Xenopus tropicalis: one gene and its partner. The main gene of each other region encodes a partner of the protein of the gene in region 2 in a complex. Links are inferred from orthologs where the notes say so. Each region holds a gene or a part of one and is shown on either strand. Other genes may lie near its edges.

Region 1 (7,669 bases), on a different chromosome or scaffold from region 2:
CACAACATGGGTATTAGTAGGAGTTCTGTGAGACTGGGGGGCACAACATGGGTATTAGTAGGAGTTCTGTGAGACTGGGGGGCACAACATGGGTATTAGTAGGAGTTCTGTGAGACTGGGGGGCACAACATGGGTATTAGTAGGAGTTCTGTGAGACTGGGGGGCACAACATGGGTATAAGTATGAGTTCTGTGAGACTGGGGGGCACAACATGGGTATTAGTAGGAGTTCTGTGAGACTGGGGGGCACAACATGGGTATTAGTAGGAGTTCTGTGAGACTGGGGGGCACAACATGGGGATTAGTAGGAGTTCTGTGAGACTGGGGGGCACAACATGGGTATTAGTAGGAGTTCTGTGAGACTGGGGGGCACAACATGGGTATTAGTAGGAGTTCTGTGAGACTGGGGGGCACAACATGGTATTAGTAGGAGTTCTGTGAGACTGGGGGGCACAACATGGGTATTAGTAGGAGTTCTGTGAGACTGGGGGCACCAACATGGGTATTAGTAGGAGTTCTGTGAGACTGGGGGGCACAACATGGGTATTAGTAGGAGTTCTGTGAGACTGGGGGGCACAACATGGGTATTAGTATGAGTTCTGTGAGACTGGGGGGCACAACATGGGTATAAGTATGAGTTCTGTGAGACTGGGGGGCACAACATGGGTATTAGTAGGAGTTTCTGTGAGACTGGGGGGCACAACATGGGTATTAGTAGGAGTTCTGTGAGACTGGGGGCACAACATGGGTATTAGAGTTCTGTGAGACTGGGGGCACAACATGGGTATTAGTAGGAGTTCTGTGAGACTGGGGGCACAACATGGGTATTAGTAGGAGTTCTGTGAGACTGGGGGGCACAACATGGGTATTAGTAGGAGTTCTGTGAGACTGGGGGGCACAACATGGGTATTAGTAGGAGTTCTGTGAGACTGGGGGGCACAACATGGTTATTAGTTATAGTTCTATGAGACTGGGGGGGCTTGTCGGCACCCCCACAATACATGGGTATCAGTAGTGCTGGGCGGTATACCGGTAAAAACCGATCACCGTTTTGTTTTTTTGAAACCGATATGAATTTTCTACATACCCCCATACCGGTGTGCTGAATACTTCCGGGTGCGCACGTGACGTCAGCGCGCACACTCTACAAAAGCGCCATCACTAGGACGCATTCAGAGTCGGATACCAATGTGAGCTGTCGGGGGGTTCCTGGCCAGTAATTATATTTTATGTGAAGGGGATGGGTGGGGGTGGGTGGGTTATACTTATGTGAAGGGGATGGGGTTGTGTTTGGGTGGGGTGGGGTGGGGGGTTATATTTATGTGAAGGGGATGGGGGGGTGTTTGGGGTGGGGGTGGGTGGGTTATACTTATGTGAAGGGGATGGGGGGGTGTTTGGGGGGGGTGGGGTGGGGGGTTATATTTATGTGAAGGGGATGGGGGGTGTTTGGGGTGGGGTGGGGGGTGTGTGTGCGGATGGGGGGGTGTTTGGGGTGGGGGGGGTGCGTGGGGGTGGGGGGGGGTGCGTGCGGATGGGGGGTGTTTGGGGTGGGGGGGTGCGTGCGGATGGGGGGGTGGGGGGGCTGCGTGCGGATGGGGGGGTGTTTGGGGTGGCGGGGGGGTGCGGGTGGCGGGTGTTTGGGGTGGTCACCTAATCATGCATGGGGGAAAAAAAATACCGTCAAATACCGTGATACCGATATAATTTTGAAAAATACCGTGATATAAATTTTTGGTCATACCGCCCAGCACTAGGTATCAGGCAGCAGGGGGCAGTTACATGGGGCGGGGCTAGAGGGGCATTCTGTGCTACTGCTGTGCCAAACCATTAGTGCTACAGTACTGGGAGGAGCTGAAGGGGTTAATGACATGCCCAATCACAGCTCTGTGTGTCCTCTGGTTCCCTTTGTCCCAGCACAGCCACTTCTGCTTTCTGATTCGCTGGCAGCTGCATTCCTTCCATTAACCCTTTCTTCCCTGCATGTCGTACTACCCACTCCCCTACATACCCCTGTATAATGCCCCCTCCCCTACATACCCCTGTATAATGCCCCTCCCCTACATACCCCTGTATAATGCCCCCTCCCCTACATACCCCTGTATAATGCCCCCTCCCCTACATACCCCTGTATAATGCCCCCTCCCCTACATACTCCTGTATAATGCCCCCTCCCCTACATACCCCTGTATAATGCCCCTCCCTACATACCCCTGTATAATGCCCCCTCCCCTACATACCCCTGTATAATGCCCCCTCCCCTACATACCCCTGTATAATGCCCCCTCCCCTACATACCCCTGTATAATGCCCCTCCCCTACATACCCCTGTATAATGCCCCCTCCCCTACATACCCCTGTATAATGCCCCCCCTCCCCTACTTACCCCTGTATAATGCCCCCCTCCCCTACATACCCCTGTATAATGCCCCCTCCCCTACATACCCCTGTATAATGCCCCTCCCCTACATACCCCTGTATAATGCCCCTCCCTACATACCCCTGTATAATGCCCCCTCCCCTACTTACCCCTGTATAAAGCCCCTCCCCTACATACCCCTGTATAATGCCCCTACATACCCCTGTATAATGCCCCCTCCCCTACTTACCCCTGTATAAAGCCCCTCCCCTACATACCCCTGTATAATGCCCCTACATACCCCTGTATAATGCCCCTCCCCTACATACCCCTGTATAATGCCCCCCTCCCCTACATACCCCTGTATAATGCCCCTCCCCTACATACCCCTGTATAATGCCCCCTCCCCTACATACCCCTGTATAATGCCCCCTCCCCTACATACCCCTGTATAATGCCCCCCTCCCCTACATACCCCTGTATAATGCCCCCCTCCCCTACTTACCCCTGTATAATGCCCCTCCCCTACATACCCCTGTATAATGCCCCCCTCCCCTACATACCCCTGTATAATGCCCCCCTCCCCTACATACCCCTGTATAATGCCCCCCTCCCCTACATACCCCTGTATAATGCCCCCCTCCCCTACATACCCCTGTATAATGCCCCCCTCCCCTACATACCCCTGTATAATGCCCCCCTCCCCTACATACCCCTGTATAATGCCCCCCTCCCCTACTTACCCCTGTATAATGCCCCTCCCCTACATACCCCTGTATAATACCCCTCCCTACATACCCCTGTATAATGCCCCCCTCCCCTACATACCCCTGTATAATGCCCCCTCCCCTACATACCCCTGTATAATGCCCCCCTCCCCTACATACCCCTGTATAATGCCCCCTCCCCTACATACCCCTGTATAATGCCCCCCTCCCCTACATACCCCTGTATAATGCCCCCCTCCACCTACATACCCCTGTATAATGCCCCCCTCCCCTACATACCCCTGTATAATGCCCCCTCCCCTACATACCCCTGTATAATGCCCCCTCCCCTACATACCCCTGTATAATGCCCCCCCCCCCTACATACCCCTGTATAATGCCCCCTCCCCTACATACCCCTGTATAATGCCCCCTCCCCTACATACCCCTGTATAATGCCCCCTCCCCTACATACCCCTGTATAATGCCCCCCTCCCCTACATACCCCCTGTATAATGCCCCCTCCCCTACATACCCCTGTATAATGCCCCCCTCCCCTACATACCCTGTATAATGCCCCCCTCCCCTACATACCCCTGTATAATGCCCCCTCCCCTACATACCCCTGTATAATGCCCCCTCCCCTACATAACCCCTGTATAATGCCCCCCTCCCCTACATACCCCTGGTATAATGCCCCCCCCCCTACATACCCCTGTATAATGCCCCCCTCCCCTACATACCCCTGTATAATGCCCCTCCCCTACATACCCCTGTATAATGCCCCCTCCCCTACATACCCCTGTATAATGCCCCTCCCCTACATACCCCTGTATAATGCCCCCCTCCCCTACTTACCCCTGTATAATGCCCCCTCCCCTACATACCCCTGTATAATGCCCCTCCCCTACTTACCCCTGTATAATACAGAACAGACTCACCTCCCGGCTCTGCTCCTGCCCCAGGGCCCCTACACACAGGAGCCCGAACAGGAGCAGCCGCCACCCCCGGTCACTAGCCATTTCCCCGACTGCCGCTTCTGTTTCCCCGGTATCGCTTCCGGCTTGTCACATGATCAGTCAGGTGACGCGCTGACTCCCATGATGCCCCGGGGCAGACAGGCGCTGACTCCCATGATGCCCCGGGGCAGACAGGCGCTGACTCCCATGATGCCCCGGGGCAGACAGGCACTGACTCCCATGATGCCCCGGGGCAGACAGGCGCTGACTCCCATGATGCCCCGGGGCAGACAGGCGCTGCTCTTGGCGCTCAGGGATCGCTTGCGGGCCGATTGGCCCCAGTGAGTGCGGGCAGAGCCAGTAACATACGGAGGCCGCAATAGCCCAATATAAAGCCGGGGTCTGTCAGGCGGCCTTTGCCCAATACAGGGCTCTGCGGGGGGTACGGGCCCCGGCTGGGAGAGACTCAAACTGCCCAATTGCCTATGGCTCTTACTGCTGCCCCTCAGGCATTTGCCCCCTCTATGGGGAGACGCAAGGACTATATATTATATAGGGAAGTGGGGGGGGGGGGGGGGCAATTACCCCACAAATGGTAGCCAAATGGCTAGAAACATGGGTGGGTGATGTTGCCCATAGCAACCAATCAGAGCTTTTGTTTTCCAACTTGTAGGTGTTAAAATCCAATTGCTCATTGGTCGCTCACCGGTAATACACTCTATAATAAACATTCCCCATTTCCCAAACTGCCTCTGTCATATGGGGCTGTCAGACTTTGGTGTCCCCCACCCCAGAGAGTCCAACCAAGCATTACACATTTAGTATTAACCCAACCTGATGTAATCACACCCAGCAACTTGCTTCATTCTAAGGCCTCTATGAACCCCAGTCATGCCCCCATATCCATAGCAGAGCCAAGGGATTGGTCTGTACACATAGGACGCACATCGGCAGCACTGAGCATGCCCAGGATAGTGCAAAAAGCTAGTGAGAGAGCAGAGAGGGGACCCACTTTGCCTTTGTGCCCCTGGACTTGTGCATTTAACTATATGATTTTCTATAAGAGATCAGTTTAAATCATTGCAAAATACTGAGCCCCCCCCGCCCACACCATACTGTGCTGCATCTGGGGTAGGAACCTTGGGACACACCCAAACACACTTGTATATTACACATTGCTCGTTTTAGCAGGAATATTACAAAGGCTTTATTTCCCCTTTAAACATCAATGAAACCCTGTCCTCTAGCTGCCGAATCATTTATCCCAATAGAAGCTGTGCCCCCCCTCCCCCCGGGTTTCAAATACAGCAGCAAAATGTTACACTACTTCAGATTTGTCAAAAAAAAAAAAAAAAAAAAAACACACCTTTTCCTATTTAAAGGGTAAGTAAAGCATCATTGCATTATACACCTATGGGGAATAGTCTAATTTAGATCTATTATATATATTTTCGGGGTGCAGGTTTATACAAATGACACCCCATAAATCAGGCAAACACACACAAGTGGAATCCAAACGAAGTTTTATTGTCGGTAGCGAATCGTTACATAGATGTTTCTCTTACAATCTCCCCTAAGCCTCCCGTCAGGCTCCTCCCACACCGTAATAAATAGAACGTTTCCGCCCTGCCAGGATGCGGATACAGAGGCGGTGGGCGGAGACAACAGCTTTAATGAAAAAAATAAAATAAAGCTGTTCAAGTGCTTCGGTGGGACGCCGGCGCCGTTCCGTCCTTTACTCTCCCTCCTCATTCTGCTTCTGGGGGGGCCTGTGGGCCGGGGGCTGCCGGCTGCCTGCCGTGGTCTTCTCCCTTTCTCTTGTGGCCCGATACGATGTCGTCAATGCGGAGCAGCAGAATGGCCGTCTGTGGGGAAGGAAACAATGCGACTGTAAAAAATTATAGCCCCCACGCCCGCCATTTTGTTTTCACCGTCTTGTCCAGCTTTATAAATATAAACCCGGGCATGTTCTGTATGCGAATTATATAGATGAGCCCCACACCTTTTGCCAGAGCTGGACTGGGGGGTTCAGGGGCCCCTAAGGCAATAGCCACAGTGGGCCCTCTACCCCCCCCCAGTCCGACCCTGGCAAAGAGTGTGGGGCTCATCTATATAATTCACACAGCCCAATGGGCCCCCCTGCGCAGCCTTCACACCCCCCCCTCCCCTGAGCGTGCGTAAATGAAAAGTAACTTAATTGCTACCATTAACCCTTCATTCCCACCCAGAACACATCTACAGAACCAATACCAGAACTAGATTCTGTGCGGTGCAAAAGTGGGCAGCATGGGAAGGGTTAACTACCCATCAGGCCTTACCTCCACTGCAGTTTTGTAGGTTTGCAGCTTGACAGCCAGCGGCTCCCAGATGCCCAATTCCTTCATGTCGACCAGAACTCCGGCCTCCCCATCCACTCCCCAGGTCTGGCAGCCTTCCTGTGTGTGTTTGGCCTGGGGAACAGAGCGGCAGGGATATTATTGGGGGACACGGTGGGACTCTAAATGCAGCCCCACGCAAGTTACTGGCCCAGCTTATAGGAGAAGGAAAGGTGGAGTCTGCCAATTTCTTCAGTCTTCATTAAACTTCACTCACACTTTACTGCTGCACTGCAAGTTGGAGTGATATCCCCCCCCTCACCCCCAGCAGCCGATCAGCAGAACAATGGGAAGGGAGCAAGATAGCATCTCCCAGTAGGTATCGGAATAGCACTCAATAGTAAGAAATCCAAGTCCGGCTTGGGACTCCTCCAGTTACATGGGAGTAGGAGAAACAATAGGTTAGCTGAAAGCAGTTCTAATGGGTAGCGCTGGCTGAAAGCTCAGACTCAGGCACAATGCACTGAGATGGCGCCTACACACCAATATTACAGCTACAAATACATTTGTTGGTTCCACCTTTCCTTCCCCTTTAAAAGCCTTTATATACCGGCCAATGAAGCTGCAGAATTTCCCTGGGACTTACCCTCAGAGACGTGAGTACACGGATGGTGCTGGCGCCGCAGTTCTGTACGAGAGTCCTGGGTATGACCTCGAGGGCCTGGGCCACTGCGCGGTACGGCCATTGCTCCACCCCCGTCATGGTCTTGGATTTCTCAGTGAGGATATGAGCCACGCTCATCTCGGCAGCTCCACCCCCCGGCACCAGGTGAGGGTCGATGACCACGTTGCGACAGACTTGCATGGCATCCTGCAGGTTACGCTCTACCTCCTGCGGGAAAGGAATAAGGTTAAAAAAAAAAAAAGGGGGGGGGGGCGGAGAAAAGCAGAGGATGCTGGGAGGCACTTACTGCCAGGATCTCTTTGCTGGCTCCGCGCAGGACAATGGTGCAGGCTTTGGGGTCCTTGCACTCGGTGATGAAGGTGAAATACTCATCTCCGATCTTCTTGATTTCGAAGAGCCCGGCGCCAGTTCCGACGTCTTCTTCGCGCAGCTCGTCTGTGCGGCTGCCTATGCGAGCGCCACAGGCTCTGCCGGGAACAGGACGGGGCAGGAAGGTCAAGTACAGCAAAGAAAACTGTCCCCACTGCCGTTTATTGCCCCATTGCCAGGGCTGACTGAGCCCCCCCAAACCTCATTACTTCCCTGAAGGCCCCAATGGATAAGGGTCACTGGTGTTCTCCAAATCCCACCTAACTGGGGCCCCCCGTC
Region 2 (6,931 bases):
CATCCGTCAGCTGTATAACTTCACCTGACAAACGAACATATGCAAAAGGAAAGTTAATATACACATTATATATTCTTTCTATACAAAATGAACGATTGCCCTAATAAATCTAGTATTTTAGCTATTTATGCACATTATTCTGTAAATCTCTGATGTTAAAGGTTTCTTAAATTGCCAAGCTGTAGGTGCTTTCCTAAAGTAACACTTTCTACAGATTTCTTTTTGCAGGGTAAACCTGCAGTTCACAGAAAGACCTGGTTCATAATGTATTGCCTCAGACTGTCTACTGAATTCAATTCACAAAGGCTATGCAACTGTTATGTGGCAGAGGAAAATAAATACAAACAACTTTCAAAAAAACAAATTATATACAGGTATGGGATCTATTGTCCGAAATGCTTGGGATTAGGGGTTTTATGTAATGTGGATCACCATACCAAGTCTACAGAAAAGTATTTAAACATAAAAAAAATAGGATTATTACTATTTTGTAAAACAAATAACTGTTTAATGGTTGTATTATTTTATTGCTTAAAACATAAAAGATATAAAAAAAACTATAGGATTGTTTTGCCACCAATGTTAATTTATGCAGCTTAGTTACCATCAAGTACTTGGTACTATTTTATTATTACAGAGAAAAAAGAATTATTTAAAAATAACTAGAATTATTATTATTGAAGTTTCCTGGATATTTGGTTTACAGATAAGAGATTCCCATACATGTATTCAGCAGCATTCATTGTTTCTTTCAAATTTAAATTAACAACATGAGGGTAGCATCCTGCACAGATATTCACATTTCTACTAGTTAGGCTCTCTCAACTAACCTGTTTTCCCCTGTTCTTTGTCGAGTATTTTTTCAGCACGTTTGTCCAGATAGCCAAGTACAAGAGCACATATTAGAGAGAAAATACAGGTTACAGCCCCTGCAAGTCAAATAAAAGAAGGGTGTATGAAACTCATACGCATACTGTTCTTTAATATTCCTCTAACTCCCGTCGTTTTATCTCTCTCAGTCAGATTACTTTCCACCACATTTCTGATTGTTTAATGTATCAGGGGGTCAAATGAGATCCAGAAACTTCATGACTCTTTAGACTGCAAGCTCTTGAGATTAGGGCCCTCTGATTTTATTTTTACTCATGAAACCTTGTTTGTTAAATTATTTTAAGACTCCTGTTTGCTATAAATTAATGTAAAGCACTAAGTAACTTGCTGGCGCTATATAAATGATGATGACCATCTCTCTGCCCATAATTTGTAGACTAGTATGTGTATTCGGCTGTGAAATACAGAGCCATGACGGAGTAACTGCATCAAATATAAAGCTTCAAATTACTATTTACATATTTATGTGATTATATATATTATAATATGTTGCATGGCATAAACAAATTTTTTGGCCAAGCACACCTTAAAGCATTAATGCATCGAAAAAGAATCTTGTTGCTTGTATTTTAGGCACATGGGCTGTGGAGACTGTTACTAATGGCAAGGCCATCAGATCTGTTTAATCAAAAAAAACATTCTAAAGATAACTTACAAAATATAAATTAAGAAGGTCTGTGTACCTTTAACATGGACTGTACAACTGTAAATCTTTCAATATCGAACCTAACAAATGGTACATGTTTAACCATAATCTACTTCCCAAGAAAGTCACACTGCTTTACGCTGAGTATCTTTCAACCATCACCACACAAACTTACCAATCATAAGGGTGACACCAAGTGTACTGTAGCCAGCAGCACCCATGTGATCCTTTATCCTACTGTATACAAGACCCATAACATTCATATTAACCGTGCTGCCCTGAAAATCAAAACTATCATTAATTGATGTGTTCATTAAAATTTGTAAATAAAATTTAAAGCAAAATCCAAAATAATATATATATATATATATATGGGTTTAATGGTATAATGGGTTTACAAACTTTCAAGCACCACTGTATATCATAGAAATCCTCTGATAACAATGGAACTGGATGGGCAGGATGTGTGCAAAGAAGAACAGCATGCTTTTACAGGTTCAAAGCTACTAAACCTATATATAATGCCTGTGCACTTATAGATAAATGAAGACTATAAATGTATGAAAGGTGCCAATTGTGGCATGAATGAATGTAGTGACAAATCCGGCAGTCATGATTTGTTCTTGCTGCTGTGGCTATGAAGGGGTTAAACTTCAGATTGGACTATTGGAACTTACCACTCTAGCCATACTAAGCTGCAGGCCAAATACCAGGTTCAGTTCTTTTCCTTTGAACCAACTGACTGCATAGGTATTTTGTGCAACAGCTAGTGACTCTCCACCAATTCTGCAAGTTAAGAGAAGGAATACCATAAGGCAAGGGGAAATAGTGGGTGTGCAAAAAGTATGTTGTAATTATTATCATTTAGTAGCCACATAGCATGCAAATCTGTTCACAAATGCTGCTTCCCTCTCTTTCGAAATCCCATAATTTTCACAGGTATAATGTTATTCTGCCCCTATATCACAGGTTACAGCAACATCTAGAATATCTGCATTCTCTGCTTGGATAAAGGGGTTGAGTAACTTGTAGCGCACTCATACAGCTCACAGCTGTGGGGGGAGCTCAAAAGCATCCTGGCATCAGGATGTCATAACGAAAGTGCTCGGTGGATAGGTTCACAATACAACAACTGGCATAATCCCTAGAAGTTTGTAATTCCTAGGGACGGTACACTTTTATACTCACCCAAACACTAATCGCCCAGCTTCCATCAGCCAAAATGCATTAACTAAAGCTCCTGTTGCAAATATGACCTAGGAAGTAACAACAATACAATAATCACAGATTGCCTTTCCAGGGTACAGAAACTCCAGACTCACCTTTGAATCAGCTTAAAAGGACTGATGGGTTCATAATTGGAATGTCTAACCAGGTGAAAATATGACGTTTTGTTTATCAGTGTTAAATAATATTTAAATTATTTTTTATAGGTACAGGTATAGGACCTGGTATTACTGTTACTTTAACAGGAAATATGCAAGCAAATGACAGGCTAAAACTTTTTCATTATTATTGCCACTTGAGTGTGATATATACATTACTTTATAAAAAGTTATGCTTACCTGTCCTACACAAACAAACAAACTAAATATTATGGTGCCCAGCCTATGGAAACAAACAAACAATAGTATCAATCACCTTTGAAATATTTATTCAGTAACTTGCCATCAACATATATGAAAGCTTATCAGTACATCAGCAATATTATTTTAGGGTAATGCCACAGGATCTTTATGGGAAAGTGTGATCAAGTGCTGTGCAGAACCACACCATTAATCATGGCTATGGACCACACCTTTAATCACTGCACAGATGACAATAAATACGATTTTTAATAGGTCGAAAATATTTGTAACAAATATTAAAATGGCGCCGTTATTACAATTCATGTTAGTTGTAATACTGCTATACATATATTTTTCATTTTCACTATATATCACCTCTAAGGCACACTGTCTCATTACTGTCTTATACATTCATTTCAAACTTAAGAATGAATACCAAATGGAAGCAAGCTTACCTAATTCCAAAAACTCGGTCAATCAGAAATCCTCCAAAAAAACACAGTACAACATTGGGCCAAGAGTAAAATGCATATAATTGCATAAAGTCTGCTGTGTTCACCTTCATATCCTTTATTTAAAAAAACAAAAAAAAACAAACAAATTATTCAGATTCAGATTATTCAAAAAAAAAAAATTGTTCAGCAACAATTGGTCTGTTTTAAGCAAGGCAGGCCATCAGATTAGCCCTCCACTAGGACTGCTGTGCCCTGCAGGGCTCATTTTAACAAAGCTGGCAGAGCACAAAGCACTGATTTACTTTACTTACAGATTTACACATAGGGGGAGATTTATTAAGACACGAACGCTCCAAGCGTATTTTCACCGATTTTTTCGCGCCTGCACCACTTTTTCGTACGCTTGCAAGACTCTTTCGTGCACGTGCGTGAAAAATTCAGAAACGTTCTGCCGCTGTTTACAATCGTTCGGTATGAAAATTTCGTGACTTTCGGATTGCCCATCCGCTATTATCGTGACTAATCCGATTTTTTCGTAAGCATTTTCGTGATATTTGCGATCTTCAGAAATTATCGTATTCCAATCCGAATTTTTCGGGATTCGAACTCGTGTTTTAATGAATCGGCCCCCTAGGGTTGTCCTTAAAGGTCCTACATTTACTTTTTAAAGTATATCCAGAATATTATTGATTTAACATCATTTAAAATTACAACCATTTCTGTTTTGTGTTTTCAGAAGAAAACGTACCACCACAAACTATGCTCTGAAGTACTGCCCGCAAGGAGCTAAAATTTACTTTTCTGAAATTCAGAATCTTTGTTGCCCCACTGTATATGTGCTTTTAACTCCAAACATTAAATGAGATAACATTATAGTCATTATTACCCAGGGTTTCCACTACTTGCACATTTGCCAGTTTACACCTGAGTAATAAAGGGGTGGTTCACCTGCAGGTTAATTTTTAGTATGTTATAGAATGGCCTGTTCTTAGCAACTTTTCAATTGGTCTTCATTTTTTATATTTTTGCAATTATTTGCCTCTCTTTTCTGATTCTTTCCAGCTTTCCAATGGGGGTCACTGACCCCAACAGGCCATAAATGATTACTCTGTGAGGCTACAATGTTATTGTCACTTTTTATTACTGTATATAAGCCGATCCGAATATAAGCCGAGGTACCTAATTTTACCTAAGAAAACTGTAAAAACTTATTGACTCGAGTATAAGCCTAGGGTGGGAAATGCAGCAGCTACTGCTAAGTTTCAATAATCAAATAATTAATAAAGGACACTCAGCGTGACCCCATGTCAACTCATAATAAATATAAAATGTTGGCAGCTGCAGATTAGGGAAAGGTGATTAGGGAAAGGTGGATGGAGCCTAAAATAATTTTACTCACTCCCATCTGGAAGGCTGTGCCCGATGCCTAGCTACTGTGAGCAAAGCACTGAATCTCCCACCAATCAGAGCAGTGTTCTCAACTGCTGCTTGTCAGAATTTCTAGGTAAAGATCTTATACACGCCTTGGCTAGATTCAGACATATGCTATGATAATACAGCAATCTTAATTTGTCCTCTTCTAGAAAAAAAAACTAGAAAAAAAGGAGAAAGCATGAAGACTGGAAATGGCCTAATGTAAAATTATATAGTAAGAAAACATAAAATATACATCCAGTTGATTAGCCCTAAAGGTATGGCTAAAACTTCCAATCTGTGCTGGTGGCCAGCAATCAGATACTTTAGCACCAACCCTGGATGCTATGCATCTCTCCTTCCTTTCCTACCTCTCATTCTGGTGTTGTCAGTGCAGTATGTCAGAGATAGAATTTCAGGTGCCAGGAGCAAGTTAGCTGCTTTTTTGGAGAGCTCCTTCCTCAAAGAAAAGGCAAAGGTTTCCTATAGCTCTTCAGGCTGCGCTGGCATTCGGCGCGTATGCCACACCCCGCACACGGGGGGGGATGGGTGTGTGGCGTACGCACCGAATGCCAGCGCAGCCTATATTCACTCGAGTATAAGCTGAGCATGAGTTTTTAAGCACATTTTTCGTGCTGAAAAACTCGGCTTATACTTGAGTATATACGGTACTTTTTTATTTTGACCCTCTTACTATTCATATCCCAGTCTCTCATTCAAACCCCTGCCTGGTTGCTAAGTTAAACTGGACCATAGCAACCAGACAGCTGCTTAAATTCCAAACTGGAGAGCTGCTGAAATGCTAAATAATTTAAAAACCGCAATTAATAATAAATGAAGACCAATTGCAAATTGTCTCAAATAGCACTCTCTACATCATACTAAAATTTAAAGGTAAACACCTTCAAAATCCCCCATTATCATTACTCACCGCAATCTAGTAGCCTTTTTTCTATTTGCAACAGGAGCTTCCTCTTTATTTACATTGGGGGGGGCTGTAGAATACCCCTACAATTAATTTGATGGATTCTTAATCTGTGAAAGGGTCCACCCATAAGGATTCAGCTCCCACATTTTCCATCATCACACTTCTTCCTTAACAATGGCTTTTAAGCCCTGCTTAACAAACATACATGCCCCTCATCCTTTTCTATTTCCCCTGCCCCTTCGAAACAAAGTATAGCCTCCTAGATTTACTGGTCAGTCATGTGACTAATTCAGCCATATTTCAGCAACACCAAGTACATCATACATTTCACCCTCTAGTGCCAGCATCTCCAGCTCTCCTATTTGATCAGTCAGGCTTCTTGCATTCGTAAACATACACTGAACTGAATCCCCTATATCTATAACCTGTCTCTTTTTTCTAGTACTCCTCCCCCACCTACATTAGAGATAATATATAAATAAATGTTACTTACTGCTTGAACCTGTGTTTGCAGAGCAGCTGGATTGTCATAGCAAAAATAGCTCCCTGTAAGAAAAGACAAACATTTGCTTACTACATGTGATACACAATATATTGGTTTAGTCTAATTAGACCTTTAAAGATATTGTTGTGAGCGAAAATAACACAGCAGGCCAACACTGATTTAACATCCAGCACCTTTCGGGCAGTATATATCTATTTCTGCTGGCTCCAATGCATGCTTAAGGGCAAAGATACACGGCACGACCAGTCCCTGCAACTTTTAAAAATGTAGTCAATGCAATTTAGCCTTAGCCAAACCAGTCAAAAAAGGGGCACTATCTCACCACGCTTAATCTTCTTCCTCAACTGATTGCAGATATGGAGCAAGTCCAGACTGGTCTAGGCAACCACTTGCAGTGCACGTTGGCCCTTTAGCCCCAATGCACTACACAGGAAAGAAAAAAAGTGTGGATTTGTGGATTCAAACTATGGGCGGGGGGCTATAATAATGTTATGTAAGGGTTTGGCCATGTCTCAGCCAACTGAA

What was found.
Region 1: the proteins of mfsd1 (region 2) and glmp are in contact, whole or in part, in a cryo-EM structure (PDB 8R8Q), measured with the Mus musculus proteins. The link is inferred for Xenopus tropicalis from reciprocal best matches to the Homo sapiens genes MFSD1 and GLMP. Residues at the interface, in NP_080089.1 of Mus musculus: Val288, Glu292, Lys293, Arg295, Phe349, Phe351, Leu411, Asp412, Lys414, Gly415, Tyr416, Leu417, Leu418, Val421, Ile424, Ser428, Leu432, Val435, Leu439; in NP_064387.1 of Mus musculus: Glu250, Asn252, Ser253, Ile254, Asp255, Asp256, Glu257, Pro260, Ala261, Phe263, Gln264, Arg292, Phe364, Leu367, Val368, Ile371, Met372, Ala375, Ala378, Leu381, Met382, Gly385, Phe389.

Annotation. Positions count from the first base shown.
Region 1 is NC_030684.2:142,076,013-142,083,681, reverse strand, and holds the start of glmp (glycosylated lysosomal membrane protein), read right to left. Parts: upstream 4,528-7,669; 5' UTR 4,323-4,527; intron 4,191-4,322; 5' UTR 4,085-4,190; coding exon 4,004-4,084; intron 1-4,003. Other genes in the region: cct3 (T-complex protein 1 subunit gamma), read right to left, coding at 5,770-5,886, 6,340-6,471, 6,983-7,228, 7,308-7,488. UniProt on the Homo sapiens protein: Required to protect lysosomal transporter MFSD1 from lysosomal proteolysis and for MFSD1 lysosomal localization.
Region 2 is NC_030681.2:115,201,442-115,208,372, forward strand, and holds part of mfsd1 (major facilitator superfamily domain-containing protein 1), read right to left. Parts: intron 6,448-6,931; coding exon 6,395-6,447; intron 3,674-6,394; coding exon 3,561-3,673; intron 3,146-3,560; coding exon 3,103-3,145; intron 2,794-3,102; coding exon 2,726-2,793; intron 2,324-2,725; coding exon 2,215-2,323; intron 1,816-2,214; coding exon 1,713-1,815; intron 930-1,712; coding exon 831-929; intron 25-830; coding exon 1-24. UniProt on the Homo sapiens protein: Lysosomal dipeptide uniporter that selectively exports lysine, arginine or histidine-containing dipeptides with a net positive charge from the lysosome lumen into the cytosol.